3 linked regions of the Tribolium castaneum genome follow. The main gene of each other region encodes a partner of the protein of the gene in region 2 in a complex. Links are inferred from orthologs where the notes say so. Each region holds a gene or a part of one and is shown on either strand. Other genes may lie near its edges.

The links.
Region 1: dynein regulatory complex protein 1 homolog (region 2) and dynein regulatory complex subunit 3 share a complex: the UniProt entries of both Homo sapiens proteins name them as parts of the nexin-dynein regulatory complex. The link is inferred for Tribolium castaneum from reciprocal best matches to the Homo sapiens genes DRC1 and DRC3.
Region 3: dynein regulatory complex protein 1 homolog (region 2) and dynein regulatory complex protein 8 share a complex: the UniProt entries of both Homo sapiens proteins name them as parts of the nexin-dynein regulatory complex. The link is inferred for Tribolium castaneum from reciprocal best matches to the Homo sapiens genes DRC1 and DRC8.

What each region holds. Positions count from the first base shown.
Region 1 is NC_087394.1:30,246,279-30,251,417, forward strand, and holds dynein regulatory complex subunit 3, read left to right. Parts: upstream 1-1,696; 5' UTR 1,697-2,071; coding exon 2,072-2,228; intron 2,229-2,279; coding exon 2,280-2,563; intron 2,564-2,610; coding exon 2,611-2,783; intron 2,784-2,832; coding exon 2,833-3,181; intron 3,182-3,228; coding exon 3,229-3,624; exon of another isoform or gene 3,625-3,670; coding exon 3,671-3,810; exon of another isoform or gene 3,811-3,856; coding exon 3,857-3,989; 3' UTR 3,990-4,081; downstream 4,082-5,139. Other genes in the region: TOM1-like protein 2, read right to left, coding at 1,218-1,281; enoyl-CoA delta isomerase 1, mitochondrial, read right to left, coding at 4,100-4,216, 4,916-5,139. UniProt on the Homo sapiens protein: Component of the nexin-dynein regulatory complex (N-DRC) a key regulator of ciliary/flagellar motility which maintains the alignment and integrity of the distal axoneme and regulates microtubule sliding in motile axonemes.
Region 2 is NC_087399.1:6,862,912-6,868,013, reverse strand, and holds dynein regulatory complex protein 1 homolog, read left to right. Parts: upstream 1-1,779; 5' UTR 1,780-1,863; coding exon 1,864-1,985; intron 1,986-2,029; coding exon 2,030-2,513; intron 2,514-2,860; coding exon 2,861-3,838; intron 3,839-3,888; coding exon 3,889-4,066; intron 4,067-4,192; coding exon 4,193-4,361; intron 4,362-4,410; coding exon 4,411-4,563; intron 4,564-4,607; coding exon 4,608-4,783; intron 4,784-4,834; coding exon 4,835-4,938; 3' UTR 4,939-4,981; downstream 4,982-5,102. Other genes in the region: RpL11 (large ribosomal subunit protein uL5), read right to left, coding at 747-985, 1,036-1,222, 1,270-1,410, 1,735-1,740. UniProt on the Homo sapiens protein: Component of the nexin-dynein regulatory complex (N-DRC) a key regulator of ciliary/flagellar motility which maintains the alignment and integrity of the distal axoneme and regulates microtubule sliding in motile axonemes.
Region 3 is NC_087394.1:7,332,771-7,336,491, forward strand, and holds dynein regulatory complex protein 8, read left to right. Parts: upstream 1-1,661; 5' UTR 1,662-1,796; coding exon 1,797-1,827; intron 1,828-1,877; coding exon 1,878-2,115; intron 2,116-2,161; coding exon 2,162-2,372; intron 2,373-2,421; coding exon 2,422-2,556; 3' UTR 2,557-2,578; downstream 2,579-3,721. Other genes in the region: delta(3,5)-Delta(2,4)-dienoyl-CoA isomerase, mitochondrial, read right to left, coding at 2,612-2,710. UniProt on the Homo sapiens protein: Component of the nexin-dynein regulatory complex (N-DRC), a key regulator of ciliary/flagellar motility which maintains the alignment and integrity of the distal axoneme and regulates microtubule sliding in motile axonemes.

The DNA.
Region 1 (5,139 bases), on a different chromosome or scaffold from region 2:
GGTGTCGTAATACTCATTAACAATTTTTCCTTCATTGCATATTAGTCTAAATTAAAAACTAAAAATGGCAATGGAGTTTTTTTCCTCCAAATATACAAAATTGTGAAAATCCACCTACAAACCGACTCATAACTGTAATACATGTAACACATGCCTCGCCCATACAGTTGCATGCTATTGCAACATTTTACGTACAAATTAACTTTACTATTAATTTTGTAGTACAATTTAATTTACCAAATGACTAGGTTCACATCCATTTTAATAATTAAATCTAATCACTTAAATAAATGTGGTGCACGCTGCAGTAATCACAATTAATTATAATAATTGTAAAGAAAAGTTTTGGAGAGGACGTTGTTTTTTGTTAGCCAAACATTTTAAAATTTTATCTGAAAAAAATATGTCTGGTTCATTACTTAAATATTTACCAATGTCTCACAACACATTGTTGAATGATTGTTTATGGACTTATTATTACTATGTTATTGGTCATTTTCGAAAATTCTTGTTGCTCTATTTTACACTTGAATTATTCATGTAAATAGGCGATAGAAAAGAATTTATATTGTTATTTTTATTCTAAGGTGATTAAGAACGCGCAAAAATAGTTCCAATTAATTAACTGATCTGAATTAGCATAAATACATATGTATATTTATTTTAAAGCAACGATGAAAAATATTTCAACTACGTTTTGCCCATAAAATTATCAAAGAATGTGGGTACTACAGCGGTATTATTCCTAACTGTTGTGACATACATAAGAGATTATTGTACCGATAACGCAAAGTATTTTTTTAATAATAGGTTTAAATAGACAAATTTCCATAGGACCCCGTGAAGAAAGCATAAAACGTCTCAGTTGATAGCCTATGTAGAGTAGTATAAGTCACACCTATTGGTAAATAATTATAAACAAATTTGGTACGAAATAAAAACCACGCTGTAGTTGTGACAAACAAAATGTAAATGCAAAAACCTACACCTACACAGACAGCGATGACGAAGTACCTTAGAATTATTACCAGAAACAGTAATTAAACAGTCTGATGAATAGATATAGGTGAATCAGCCAACAAAAGTGATAAACAATGTAATCTAAACAATAAAATACAGTGCCAGCACCGGTTTCTAGTTCTATTTACGTTTTATTAAATCGATTTTAACAACGGAAAAAAATTAAATGAAATCCGGCAATGCCAAGCGGGACTCACCAATTCGCGATCCTACGGGCGTCGAAAAGGGATTTCCTCCTAATGCAGTTCCAAAAAAAGACATTTTTTATTTCTAAATTAAATTTCACGATTGCACTTTCTTGTTGTCACTTGACTTCTGTCACTGTCACTTGTCAAAACAAGAAAACACTGCGGCGCTTGCGCAATACTTCCGCTCCTAAATCTAAAATTTTCCGACGAAAATAACAATTTTATTTCAAACAAATAAACTGCATGACGCGCTTGTTGGTGTGTTAGTCACTGTTTTTCTAATTTATTGATCTTTTCATTCCCAAGTTGTGTAAACTTCTGAATAAAAAGACGTCAGACATGTGTCACGTGATCAAAAATTATACGAGGTGCGGTTCACAATTTAAAGTTCTTTTTTTATGTTATTTTTCCGTTCTTTCACGTAATATACTACCAAAGCGAGCATTTCTGCATTTATAACTGTGCTGTTGTCATTTCTTCTTTGATACAGAATACAACGTAATTTTACAATTTTGAGTATTTTTTTATAAGTTGCGGTATCAGCACTCGGCTTCGCCTCGACTACAATTTCGCAAACTCTTAATTGTAAAGATTTTTTTACTCCAAAAACCCTCTCTGGGCTATTTTTATCTACTTAGACGTTATAATCTACCTGTAAAGAGTTTTTTGTAATTGATATAATTTCACAATGAAAAATAATAAAACTCAAGAGCACAAGCTCGGCAAACTCAAAGATTCATGATTTCTCAAGTCCATAGCAACAATAAGGTACTTAAACAACAGTCATTGTGACATCAATAATTTCAAGAATGCTTGAAAAGGTATTTGTATCGATTTAGTGTGCCTAATGAAAATTTGTAAAAATGAATCCTTGTAAATTGAAAGAGCCAAAAGTAATAGACAATGCCCTTCTGGAGAAATGTATCAAAGACCAGGGCCCCAAGGGTGAAGCGGGTCGCTTGGCGGAGATCGAAAAAATCCCCCTTGAAGACGTCACCGAGATTCGCTTAGAATTTCTGAGTAACAATTCTTGTAAAATTTAAACCCGACTTTCTGTGTCCCTATCCGTAGATATCTTAAGAATTGACCACTTGTGGGTGCTGACATCTTTAACGAAATTAAATCTCAACAATAATTTACTGGAAAAAATCGAAAATTTGGAAAGTCTGGTGAACTTAACTGAACTAAATTTATCATTCAATAAAATAGCTAAAATCGAAAATTTAGACGAGCTTCGCAACCTTGAAAAGCTGAGTCTGTATGATAACGAAATCACGGTTTTGGAGAACATGGACACTTTAACAAAATTAACAGTTTTTAGCATTGGAAGAAACAAAATTGACGACTTGGACAATGTATTACGAAAAATAATTGTGTTCTAGAATACACAAATATTTTATAGATTCTGTATTTGCGACGATTCGGCAATTTAAAATCGTTAAATCTAGTGGGGAATCCCTGTGCCGAGGATGAAGATTTTCGTTTATTTATTGCAGTTTTTCTGCCACAACTCGTTTACTACGAATATAAATTAATATACGAGTCGGAACGGGAACTTGGACACGAAACTTTCAGGTTTCTAGCTAAAATTGTTTAAGTGAACATCAGTAGGAGAGTTTTTTAGTGCAAAACTGCGAGCATTGTTGGAGAAAGAGGAGAAGGAACGGGAAATCACTGCGATAAAGGAACAAGAGTTGGCCGATGCCGAACTTCACGCCTCTAGTTTCGTGGAGTATTTAAACACTCGCCATTTGTTCGACTCTTTATTTGCCAACGACACCGACGGCATGAACTTGATGAAAATCGGCGAAGACGCGCAAGAATTCTACGACGAGTACGAGGAGAACTTCATCGAACTGTGTAAACAAATATTCGAAAATGGGCAACAACAGTACATCCTGCGCAAAACCGAACAGGACCAGTTCTTAAAATGCGTCGAAGACGCAAATAAGGACAATCAAGACGAAAGCATTGTACGCCCCCTTTCGAATTTACTTATAGCCCCAAATTTCGTCCGTAGAAACACATGGAGATCTTCCTGGAGAAGAAGGCAATACTGTTCCTCAAAATCAAAAACGTGCAAAACCAGCTGAACTCAAACGAAATAAATTACGACGAGTTTATCGACAAATGCGACGTCTTCGTGGTGGAGTACGACGAGATGTTGCACGAAGTTTGGAAAGCGCTAATGAAACTGGAACTGGAACTTTACGAACAAATGGAAGAAGTCAACCAAACTTTCGAACACAACATCACAGAACTCGTTAATAATTTCATTGAATCGTCGCAGGCTTTCTTTACGCAGATCAGAGAGCTGGAAGTGAGCTACGCTGAAAATATCGGCGATTTGGCCACAAAGTTTCAAACAAATGCCAATTTGAATGAGGAAATCGAAGTTCCCGCAGTTCTTAAACCGGTAACTTCCGGCACTTGCTTTATTAATAATTTCAATGAGATTACAGCTTATGGCAGATAAGGATCTTCTGCACAACGCGTTGGCAACAAGTCACGATATGCACATGCAGATTATCGATGCGAGAGAAGACACTCTCATTTCGAACGCCAAGGATTGGCTAAATGATTTAATCGACGATTTAAACACGTAAGTTATGCCTTTACTTTTCCCGAAAAATATCCACAACTTGTAGGAATGAGATCAAGCGAAACAGGGGGAAAGTGCTGGAAATTAACCACTTTCTTGAAATCCAAAGGCAGGAGTTTGAGGATTTGAATAAGGAATACGCGCCTGATCTCAAGGATGACGTTATAGCCTTGGAATAAGTAAGATAGTAAAATATACTTTATTTTTACAAAAGTACTTACACATATTCTTGGTTTGGATAATAAATTTTACACTTCATTATATAAAAGAATATCAACTTATAATATCCTTATTTCTGTTTCTGCTTCAATGATTGCAGATACATTTCCAACCCCTTTTGCACACTGTCCTGAGCTACGTAATTCGCCACATATTCGTAATCTTTTTGGAGATTGTTAGTGAGGTCCTGAAATAAAAACTCATTTTTACAAAATATATAATTGAGCCTTAAATACAAAAATGCCAAAAAAGTCTATAAAAAAATCATAATACTAATTGCATCACATAATATGTTGAGATAAAAATATGTTTCCTTGGTGAGTTTCCTTAATAAAACATTTCGTTATATTTCCTTGCATTTTTAATAATGATTTTACCTACCTAGTTTTTGAAACTTAAAAAAAATACGGATAAATGCCAACTGATTAATTTCTGCAGAAAGATAGTACCCTCAACTTCTAGTATAAACTTAATTCGAAAGTATTACCAACAATTTCAGTACTAAAAGATCTTGGGGTTTTTTGGATAACAAATTATTTTTGAGATAATTTCTATATACTTGAAAATAATTTAAGCTCATAGGTCAGTATCGAAGCCTTTTTAACACAACTTTTTTTTAATATTGTAACATTTGGAAGGTTAGCAGTCTCTTCCAACTCGCTGGGACACGTTGCATAATTTTATAAAACTGTTATAAACAATGATAATGAATACAAAAAATACAATTGAAGGACCTTGATGCGAAATCACTTTACAACAGTTCTGAATGCAACTTCGTCATGACTAGTTTAATAAATTTATTTATTAAAGGTGCTTGAGAGTGGATAAAATATGTTGCTCTGATAAGTGAGTTATTGGTGTTTAGATTTGCTGAAATTAGGCTTACTTGTATGTCAGCGCCTCGCACTCCCAACTTGGATCTGGCTCTTGCAATTGGCGGAATTCTGGCGAATCTTCCGCAAAACTTCTCCGCTCTTGCAATGCCATCCTCTTTGCTAGCCGCCACCTCGTCAATCATTCCAATTTTCAAAGCTTCGTCAGTTGAGAAAAGATTGCCGCTAGTTAAAGCCAATTCAGTCTGTCTCGTTCCAATCACATTCCTCATGGACG
Region 2 (5,102 bases):
TCAGTGTTATGATAGCTCTCTAGAAAGTTACACCATTTTTAACTTAAACTTTTTTCGTGTAATTTCGCCAAAACTGGTTAATAATTCTATTCTAGTTCATTTTTGAACCAGTCTCACTTATTTTGCAAAAACATACTAAAAGAAACATTATTACTCGTTTTGAGTAAAAAAATATACGACAAAAAATTGGTAACACAATGGTTATAACTTTGCCATTTTCAAACGAGATATTTAAGCATTTTTATGATTCGGTTGCAACAAACCAAAAAATCACCAAATCGGGGCGAAAGAGACACTGTCATCTTTTCCCAGCTTTTTTCAATCAGAATCTCATATTATTTCGCAAAATTTCAGACAATTTGCCAATTAGTAAAAAACAAACGGTGCTATTTTGTCCATTTCACAAAAAAAAAACCCGTTAATTGACAACTTCATTTGACAACTTATGAAAACAAACCTAGGAAATTTGCCCAAAATAAACGAAAAAATCTCAATTTTATTAAAAAAATTGCTATACTTGCCTTTTTAAAACGATAATATTTTTGATCTAAACATTTTATGATGCAAAGAAAAACAGGAAACTTTCTACACAGTCAAGTTTTGTAATCTGATGAAACCATGGCTTTAGGATTTTTGGTGAAGGATAAGACTAGGTCACAAAAACTCAAATTGAATTTTCTTAAATAAACTTATTTGCGTCCTCATACAAATATGTTAAAATTAAAACATAACCATACGAAACGCAATCACTTCTTACTCGCCAGAATTATACCGTCATATTTCTGCTGGAACCACTTCATGGCGTCTTCTTTCGTCAAACGGTGCGGGAATCCAACCTTCCCTTGTTTCCTCCTCCTGTGGGCGACATTGAAGCCAGGCCGTCCCAAAACGACGTAAAAATCTAAACCGTAGATACCAATACTGGGGTCATACTTGATCCCCAAATCGATGTGTTCCTGGATACCGAAGCCAAAGTTACCTGAAGCTAATTCTCTCATTAGAGCGATTTTCGCGCGATTTGTGCCAAAAAAATACCGGAAAAGTTGTCGCGTCTCAATTCGTACTCGCGCACTTTCAGGCCCCGTTCGAGGATCTCCTCGGCCTTGGCCCCACGGACTGTGCAGTGAACGGCGATCTTTTCGTTACGTCTGATGCCGAAAGACCGGACGGTGTAGCGGGCTTTGGAAAACACGGGCTGTTGCCCCGTCAATTGTTCTAACACCTGCAAGTCGAAAATTACAATCTGGGGGGCGATGCAAAGACACTCACTTTAGCGGCGCGGGTTAACCTATCACCAGACTCTCCGACGCAAATATTTAGGCACAGTTTGCGGATGTGAAGGTCCCTCATCACATTTTTGGACTTGTCCTTCACCTCCCGCTTTTCCTTCTTCGCTCCCTTCGCTACCGGCTGGAAAAAACACAACATTTTTTTTATAGGTTAGACTTGCCCTGTCATAAATAACAACCACAAGGTGAATTTTCGCCCAAATCTACTAAAAAAACAGCAAATGATTGGTTTTAAACGACTCTTTACGTGTTTTTAGGCGAAAAAACTGCCAAAAAATGATTTTTGGAACACATGTCCCTAATCACCAAAAACAAAAAATACGCCCAAAATCACAAAAAAACAATCATTTGACACGCAAATCACTCAATTTCAATCAATTTCACTGATTGTGCAAAACGATGATTAAAGAAATAGAAAATTGAACGAAAAAACAGGAAAACATACCGCCATTGCGAATCTAGAAAGTTGAAAAGACCGTCGGTAAAACAGTTTTCTGAAGCACAATTCTCTCCCGTTGCTATAACAACGTGGCGCTAAATTCAACTTGCTATTTTATTTGATCAATATCAAGAAATGGAAGAGGAAGAAGTGACCGATGAGGAGAATTACGAACCGCAGGTTTTTTCCAAAAACCCCACCGAACGTATTGCCGCCCGCCGGCTCCGCATCCAGCGCCGGGTGGAGGCTTTGCGCAAGTAAGCCCCTTTTTTCTGACTTTTTTTCATTTTGCCAAAATCAGGGCAAAGGAGGCTCAAGAGGCGGCAAAGCTCAACGTTACGCTCGAGCCGGAGGTCACCAAGACGCCCATCGAGATCCAGATTGAGAAGAGCATCGAGCTTTTGGAGAAGCTGGTTCTCGAAGGAGATGAGTATGTTACCAATGTTCGGGTGGCAACGGAGGCTCGGGAGGCCGACAGGCGTGAACGCGAAGGCATAGGGAAGGAAAAGCTGTTGAAGGAGCTCGAAGATGAGGCCGAGGCGGCAGCGGGGATGTTCGAGGAGATTGCAAACAAGTGGGGCGGGATTTTGAAGTATAATGACCCCTTGCATATCAGTGAGGATATCCAGAGTCAGAAGGAGAAGTGCGATGAGCTTATCAGACAGAAGGATAATCTCATTGCTGAGCTGAAGGAGAAGATTCGAAAGGCGGAAATCAATTTTGCGATTGATCAGAGAAAGCAGATCGAGGATGTCAATTCGATTGCACGCAGGATTGAGAATCAGGTCCCTATGACTTAAACGTTTTTATCCTAGATGACTTCATGCACATTTTGCTCTAAAGGTTTTTTCCCAGAATTTCTTTTCCTTCTCATAATTTTTTTCAGGTTTTTTTAGTTTTAGTAGATTGCAATTTTCGTAAACTTAATTTCGTTCATTCATTCATTTATCTACTGTGATTTTTTTGTGTATTTACTTTCCAGTTAATAAGGGGGTTAAGTTATAGCAATTGCTAAACAATTTAAATAAAACAGACGAGTTATTATAATTATTTTTGCAAATTATATTTGCTATAGTTGTATTGTTGGTTGCATACCCAACCAAACGTTTAATTTAGTTTTTCCAAATTTTAGATTATCGTGATGAGGAAGGCGTATCGCCAGGAGTTACAAATGATCGAAGAGGTGATCCTTGCCGAACGCCAAATCCTCATTGAGGCCAATAACAAGAAATGGGAGGAACTGTACAAGAAGCGAGACCAGGAGGAAAAAGCAAACTCCGAGCTCAAATCGGAAGATTACTGGAATTTTGTCAAAGAAATGGACCATTTGAACCGCGACTTTCAAGAACTGTATCGTGCGACCACAATTCAACTAGAAAACGACTGCGACGAGCTCCAGCGTGAGCTGGAAAGAATCAAAACCGATGCGGTTATGAACAGCGAAAAGCTCGACTACAATTACCAGATTTTGAAAAAACGCGAAGACGAGAATCTGATTATTCGGTCGCAACAAAAGCGCCGAATTAACAAGCTTCAGGACGTTATCAACAACTTGCGGAAGAAAAACAACGATTACCACACTCAAACCCATCAACAGATTGACAAACTCACGATCGAGTTGAAAAAACTGACCCAGAATATCCTCGATATTGAGCGGAAAGCTGATCATATAGCTCAGGTTAATGACGAGAAGTTTAAGAAAATCTGGGGTATGAATAAGCAACGGGCCGATCAGCTTTTCAAACGCATCCTCGAGATTGATAAGACTTTGTACGAGCAACAGTTAGGTTTGATTTGGAGCCCTCCTGAGCATAAACTCCCCACGAGAAATGAACTAGACAGTTACAAAACGGCCCTAAATGTTTTGAGCGTTCGCAAATTGAAAAGCAAAAGCGTGATTATGGAAACAGAAGGCGCCCCGAACGTGGAACCTGAAATTCCTGAAGGCGATGACATTGACTATAATAAAAATTATAAAAAAACGTTGAGACATGTCTTGAATTTGGTCGGCGATAAGATGGGGTTTTTGATCGAGGATGACTTACTTGCCATTTTGGAGCCCTATTTAGAGCAGGAACGCACTTTGGTTAAAGTTGATAACGTTTTTGCGGTAGTTTGTTACAGTTAATTGTTTATTTATGTGCAAAAAGAATATTTTAGGCCCTTAATATTAATGATCGTTCCGATATTGACCTACTTCTTGAGTTCTTCCTCCCTTACATGTTCTGTCCCATTTGTAACACAACTTCAGAAAAGCCCATCAATATTGATGAAGAAAGTTTGCTGAATGTTCATGAAATGGATCCTCTGAACGTCTCCCAACTCACTGACAATGATGGTACAGTCACGTTCAAAAAGAATGACACCCTTACCCCTGCCATTTTAGGGGTGTCATTCTTTTTGATCGTGACTGTACTTGGGTACCTAAGGTATTTAAAAAAAAAATTCAAATATGTTTTTTAAGACAGTAGAAGCCGATTAAGTGATACTTATGCCACCGACATGTCTTTGAACGAATACGTGGGGGCGGAGCGTGAAGGGGGGACCAATATAGACGTGGGCCCTTTATCAGTAACCCTTTACGACGATAATTTGAAAGGGGAGTGCAAAGGGCCCGAATTGCGCGAGCGAGAGTAAGCAAATTAAACGAATTATTTGTCACAAAATATTGTTTTTTTACAGTATCAAGGATCAGGACAGTAAAGGGTCGTTTGGTGAAGCTGATAATAAATCAAACGTGCCATGCCAATACCAACACCCACTTGTGATAAGCTCTGTTTACGTTTTGAAAGCTTTGAGAGAGTTTCTGGCCAAATATCACGTCAAGAAGGCCGGGTAAAAATTTGAGTTAGTGATTTTTGGTACTTAAAGTTTTGTAGCATGCCAACAATGTCGGCAAGACTGGCTCATAAACGAAGCACGGTCTCTCGATTGGTGGCACAGGAAGATATCGAGAGTTATTGGACTAAATATACGACGCTTTTTCCGAAAGAAAGGGAACAGTTGTGGGATAGTCTTCTAGCTGGGCTTAAACGTTATCACGAGTTGTTGAAAGGTTATGTCAGGGTTTTTCGGTGAAAAATTGTAATTCTGGTTCAATTTGCAGTCCGAAAACTTACGAGTGAGGAAGTGGTCAAGTTGAGGAAACAGAACTTGGAACTGAGGCGCGTTTTTGCGAATTATATCGACAAACAAGACATTCCGTACTAATTTGTAATTAAAAGATGAATAAATTTACATTCGAGAAATTTAATTGTGTTTTTTTATTAAATAGATTGATAAACAATAAAATACAACACAAAATAATAATTAATTAATTTACAAAAAAAAATGTAAATTAATATTGCGTGGAAGTGTATTATGTTTTGCATGTT
Region 3 (3,721 bases), on a different chromosome or scaffold from region 2:
GTTTACATAAAAAAGAATTTTGAATGGTAAAGAATCTAGAGAAGAACGAATCTAAAGATGGATTTATAGAATAATCTAAAGAAGAAACCATCAGATCTGCAAACGGGTTATTTAGAAAAGAATCAGAGAAAAGAACAGAAACAATGCTAAAGAATAATTTAAAAATTATAAAGGGAACTACAGAGGAATTTAATAGCGCATCCAAAGATGGATTTACTAAAATAATGTAAAGAGGAATCCAGATTTCAGATCTACAAACGGTTTCAAAAAAGAACTCGAGTAGGATCTCAAGAAAAATCTAGAGAAGAGTACAAAAACAATGCTAAAGAATAAAAATATATTGCGAGAGAAAAATTCTATACATAACTGTAGGACAATTTTGAAAAGATGCAGAGTGCAATCTAGGAGAGGTTTTGGATAAAAAAAATTAAAAGAGTTTATAAAATAATTTTGAGTAGTATAGAAAATAATTTCTAAAGAAGTATATGGAGATGGATTTATAAAATAATTTAAAAAGTTCCAATTTTAGGTTTAGAAACGATTTTTTAAAATATTTGAGACTTATTTTAAAAACAATCTAAAAAAGAGTAGACAAACAAATAATGCCAAAAAATAATTTAGAAAAATTCGAAACGAAAGTACAAAGGAATTTTCAAACAAAGCAGACCTAATAATTGTCTTAAAAAACGTGAAAAATTCGTGAATTTATACAATAATCGAAAGAAGAATCTATATTTCAGATCTAGAATTAGGCTTATTTAGGAAAAAAAGAAAAGAAAAGAATTAGAAAAGTATATGAAAAAAAAATCCAGAGAAGACTACAGAATTAATAAAAATTATTTGGAAAAATTGTAAAGGAAACTACAGAAGAATTTATAACCGAATCTAAAGATGTAACCTAAAGAAGATTATAACCTAATAAGATTATTTCAAGAGAAAAATTCTATACGAAACTGTAGAAGAATTTTGGAAAGATACAGAGTAGAATCTAGAAGAAAATTTGGATAAAAATATTTGAAAAAAAGTGTATAAAATAATTTTGATTAGAGTCTAGAAAATAATTCTAAAGACGTATCTACAGATACCTAGAGTCTCCTCTACAAAAAAATTTAGAAGAATATTATGAACAATGTAAAAAAAAGTACATAAATAAAATAATAATACAGACTAAAAAATAATTTGGAAGAATTTTAAACGACGCAGACAAGAATCTTAAATTTGGATAATGTCAAAAAAATGTAAAAGTGTTAATAAAACAATTTTGGATTTGAAAGAAGAATCTAGAGAAGATGGATTTATAAAATAATCTAAAGAAGAGTACAGAAAGCTAAAGAATAATCTGGAAGAAATTTAAACGAAACTAAAGGAAAATCTTGAAAAACTGCAAAGTAGAATCTACTACAGAGTGACTATTAAAGACTGTGACAAAAAAACCTATTAGTAACACTGAATTATTGGCCTTCATGGTGGCTTGTTATATTAAGATTTCAAATTTGTCACCAACCTGACAAGAATCGCAATTTTTGAATAATCACCTGGTAAAGAGAATTTGAATAATATTTGTGTATTTATTTTATTTACACTGTTTTTTGTCATTCGTAATTTGTGCAACATAAATATGGCATTTTTACTTTTTAATGTTATTTTTAATTAAGAGTAATTATTATTATTGGTGATTTTTACCAAAAAAATATGCAAGTGGTACAACTGCCAACACTTCAAATCACCTAGCAACCAAAACTGTCGCTAGGAGACCGTCAACTGTTTAAACCTTAACGATTATCAAAATTGTTAAAATGTTGGAAGACGAAGAAGAAGAAATTCATGGTTTTTGTCAAAAACTCGTCTTTTTCCAAAAAACCAACACGTTTTTTTAGTGCCTATTAATAATGACTTGGAGCGCAGAATTGCCGACGCGTTTGAAGTTTTCGACCACGCAGGTAACAAAACAGTCGATGTTCGAGAAGTGGCAACGATCGTACGTGCCTTGGGTTGTTGCCCCACTGAGGCAGAAATTCAGGAAATTTTGATGGCTGTTGAAAACCCCGAATCTCCCGGAAGTGTACACTTGTCTAATTTTTTACCCCACATGTCGCAAATCATCACTGAACACAAGTATCACCAAAATTTAATCGCCAAAAAACGAAATTTTCATTCGCAGGTATCAGCCTGCAAGTCCCGCGCAACTTTTAGAAGCGTTCCAAGTGCTAGATAATGAAGGTAAAGGTTTTTTAACAAAGGAACGCATTTCCACGCTTATGACGCAAGATGGTGAGCCCTTTACCCAAGACGAACTCGACGAAATGCTGGAAATAGCCATAGACCCACACACTCAAACTGTGCCTTATGAATATTACATCAATCAGCTAATGGTACCTAATTTTTATTTTTGCAAATATTGCACTACGTTATTTTTAATAGCACGAACCTGAAGGAGAGAAAGATATCTATAAGTTAGCTGATCGTGTTCTTGAGGAAAATCCACCTCCACCTCCTCCTCCTCCACCTCGAAGGCTGTCCGAGTTCCTGCATGATTTGTCCGTTCCTGAATTTTAAATTATAAAACACTCCAAACTTCCACCTTGTTTATTATTTAATCTTCTTGCTTAATTTACAATTTTGCGAAAACTGTATCTTTCTGTTTGGTAGCTTGGGCTACTGTTGCTGTTGTGAAGTCTTCACTTTGAAGCATTAGCTGATTCCATAAGGCCTGTAAGTAATGTGTTATTAATTTATTATTTTTTGCAGCTGGATTAAGAAACAAGCACTAATGGGGGCGCCATTGAAAAATAAGCTTAATTTATCTTCTTGTTATTTAATTAAGGCAAGTTTCCTTTTATTAGGTGGTTTCAGTGAACATTAATAAAGAATAAAGAAATATTTCTGTGTTGTTACTGATAAATAGTTACTCCTTCTGTTCGAAAATACGGTAGGTATAACTTTTAAAGGCCGGTAAGTAATTACCAGTGTGAGGAAATTTTAGGGGGTGGCCATGAGGCCACAACCGATCAGCCGACTCGTCGTAGCGCTCTCGCGATGTTCATATTTATCGATGAAATGGTCCGCTACAGCGTGTGCATTGGCGTAGTTTACTTGGGGTTTATACAATTAATGTTACCGGTCGCTTACAAAAATCTAATTAAAACATAAATATTATTGTTTTATTATAATTACGGAGTACCCAAGAAAAATTGTGGCAATAAAATAGTCGCTAATTTATTAAGACTGCGGTATATTTGTTGAGATTATTTTCTGAATCAATTTTAAAATAGTTGCTAATATCAGCTTCTGATTGGCTAGTTCAAACCCTGACAAGGCACCTAATTTGACATAATCGTTAAAAAATAACTTCATCATTTCTTTAATTTTACACGGACACCAATGAAGATGTTTAATACAGGGGAGCGTAAGTCACTATTACATTTTGAAAATGTTGCGTTTTAATTCAGTGGAAATTAAAATTAAAAACTAAATAAAAATATTTTAATCATTTTTTCTGAGAAATACGCTTGAATAACTGAGATTCTTTCTAAATTCTCGAAAACTGATTCCGTTTTGCGGTTAAAATATCTTTGAATTTCGAAAAAGATCTTTCTACATCACAGTTGGTTACAGGAGTAAATAAAAAGTTTGGTGCTAATGCAAAATATGTCGAAGGTGGTACATTATTCGCTATTTGTTTTAAAACTAGAAAATCGGGATTTCTAGTAACTGCGTCAAT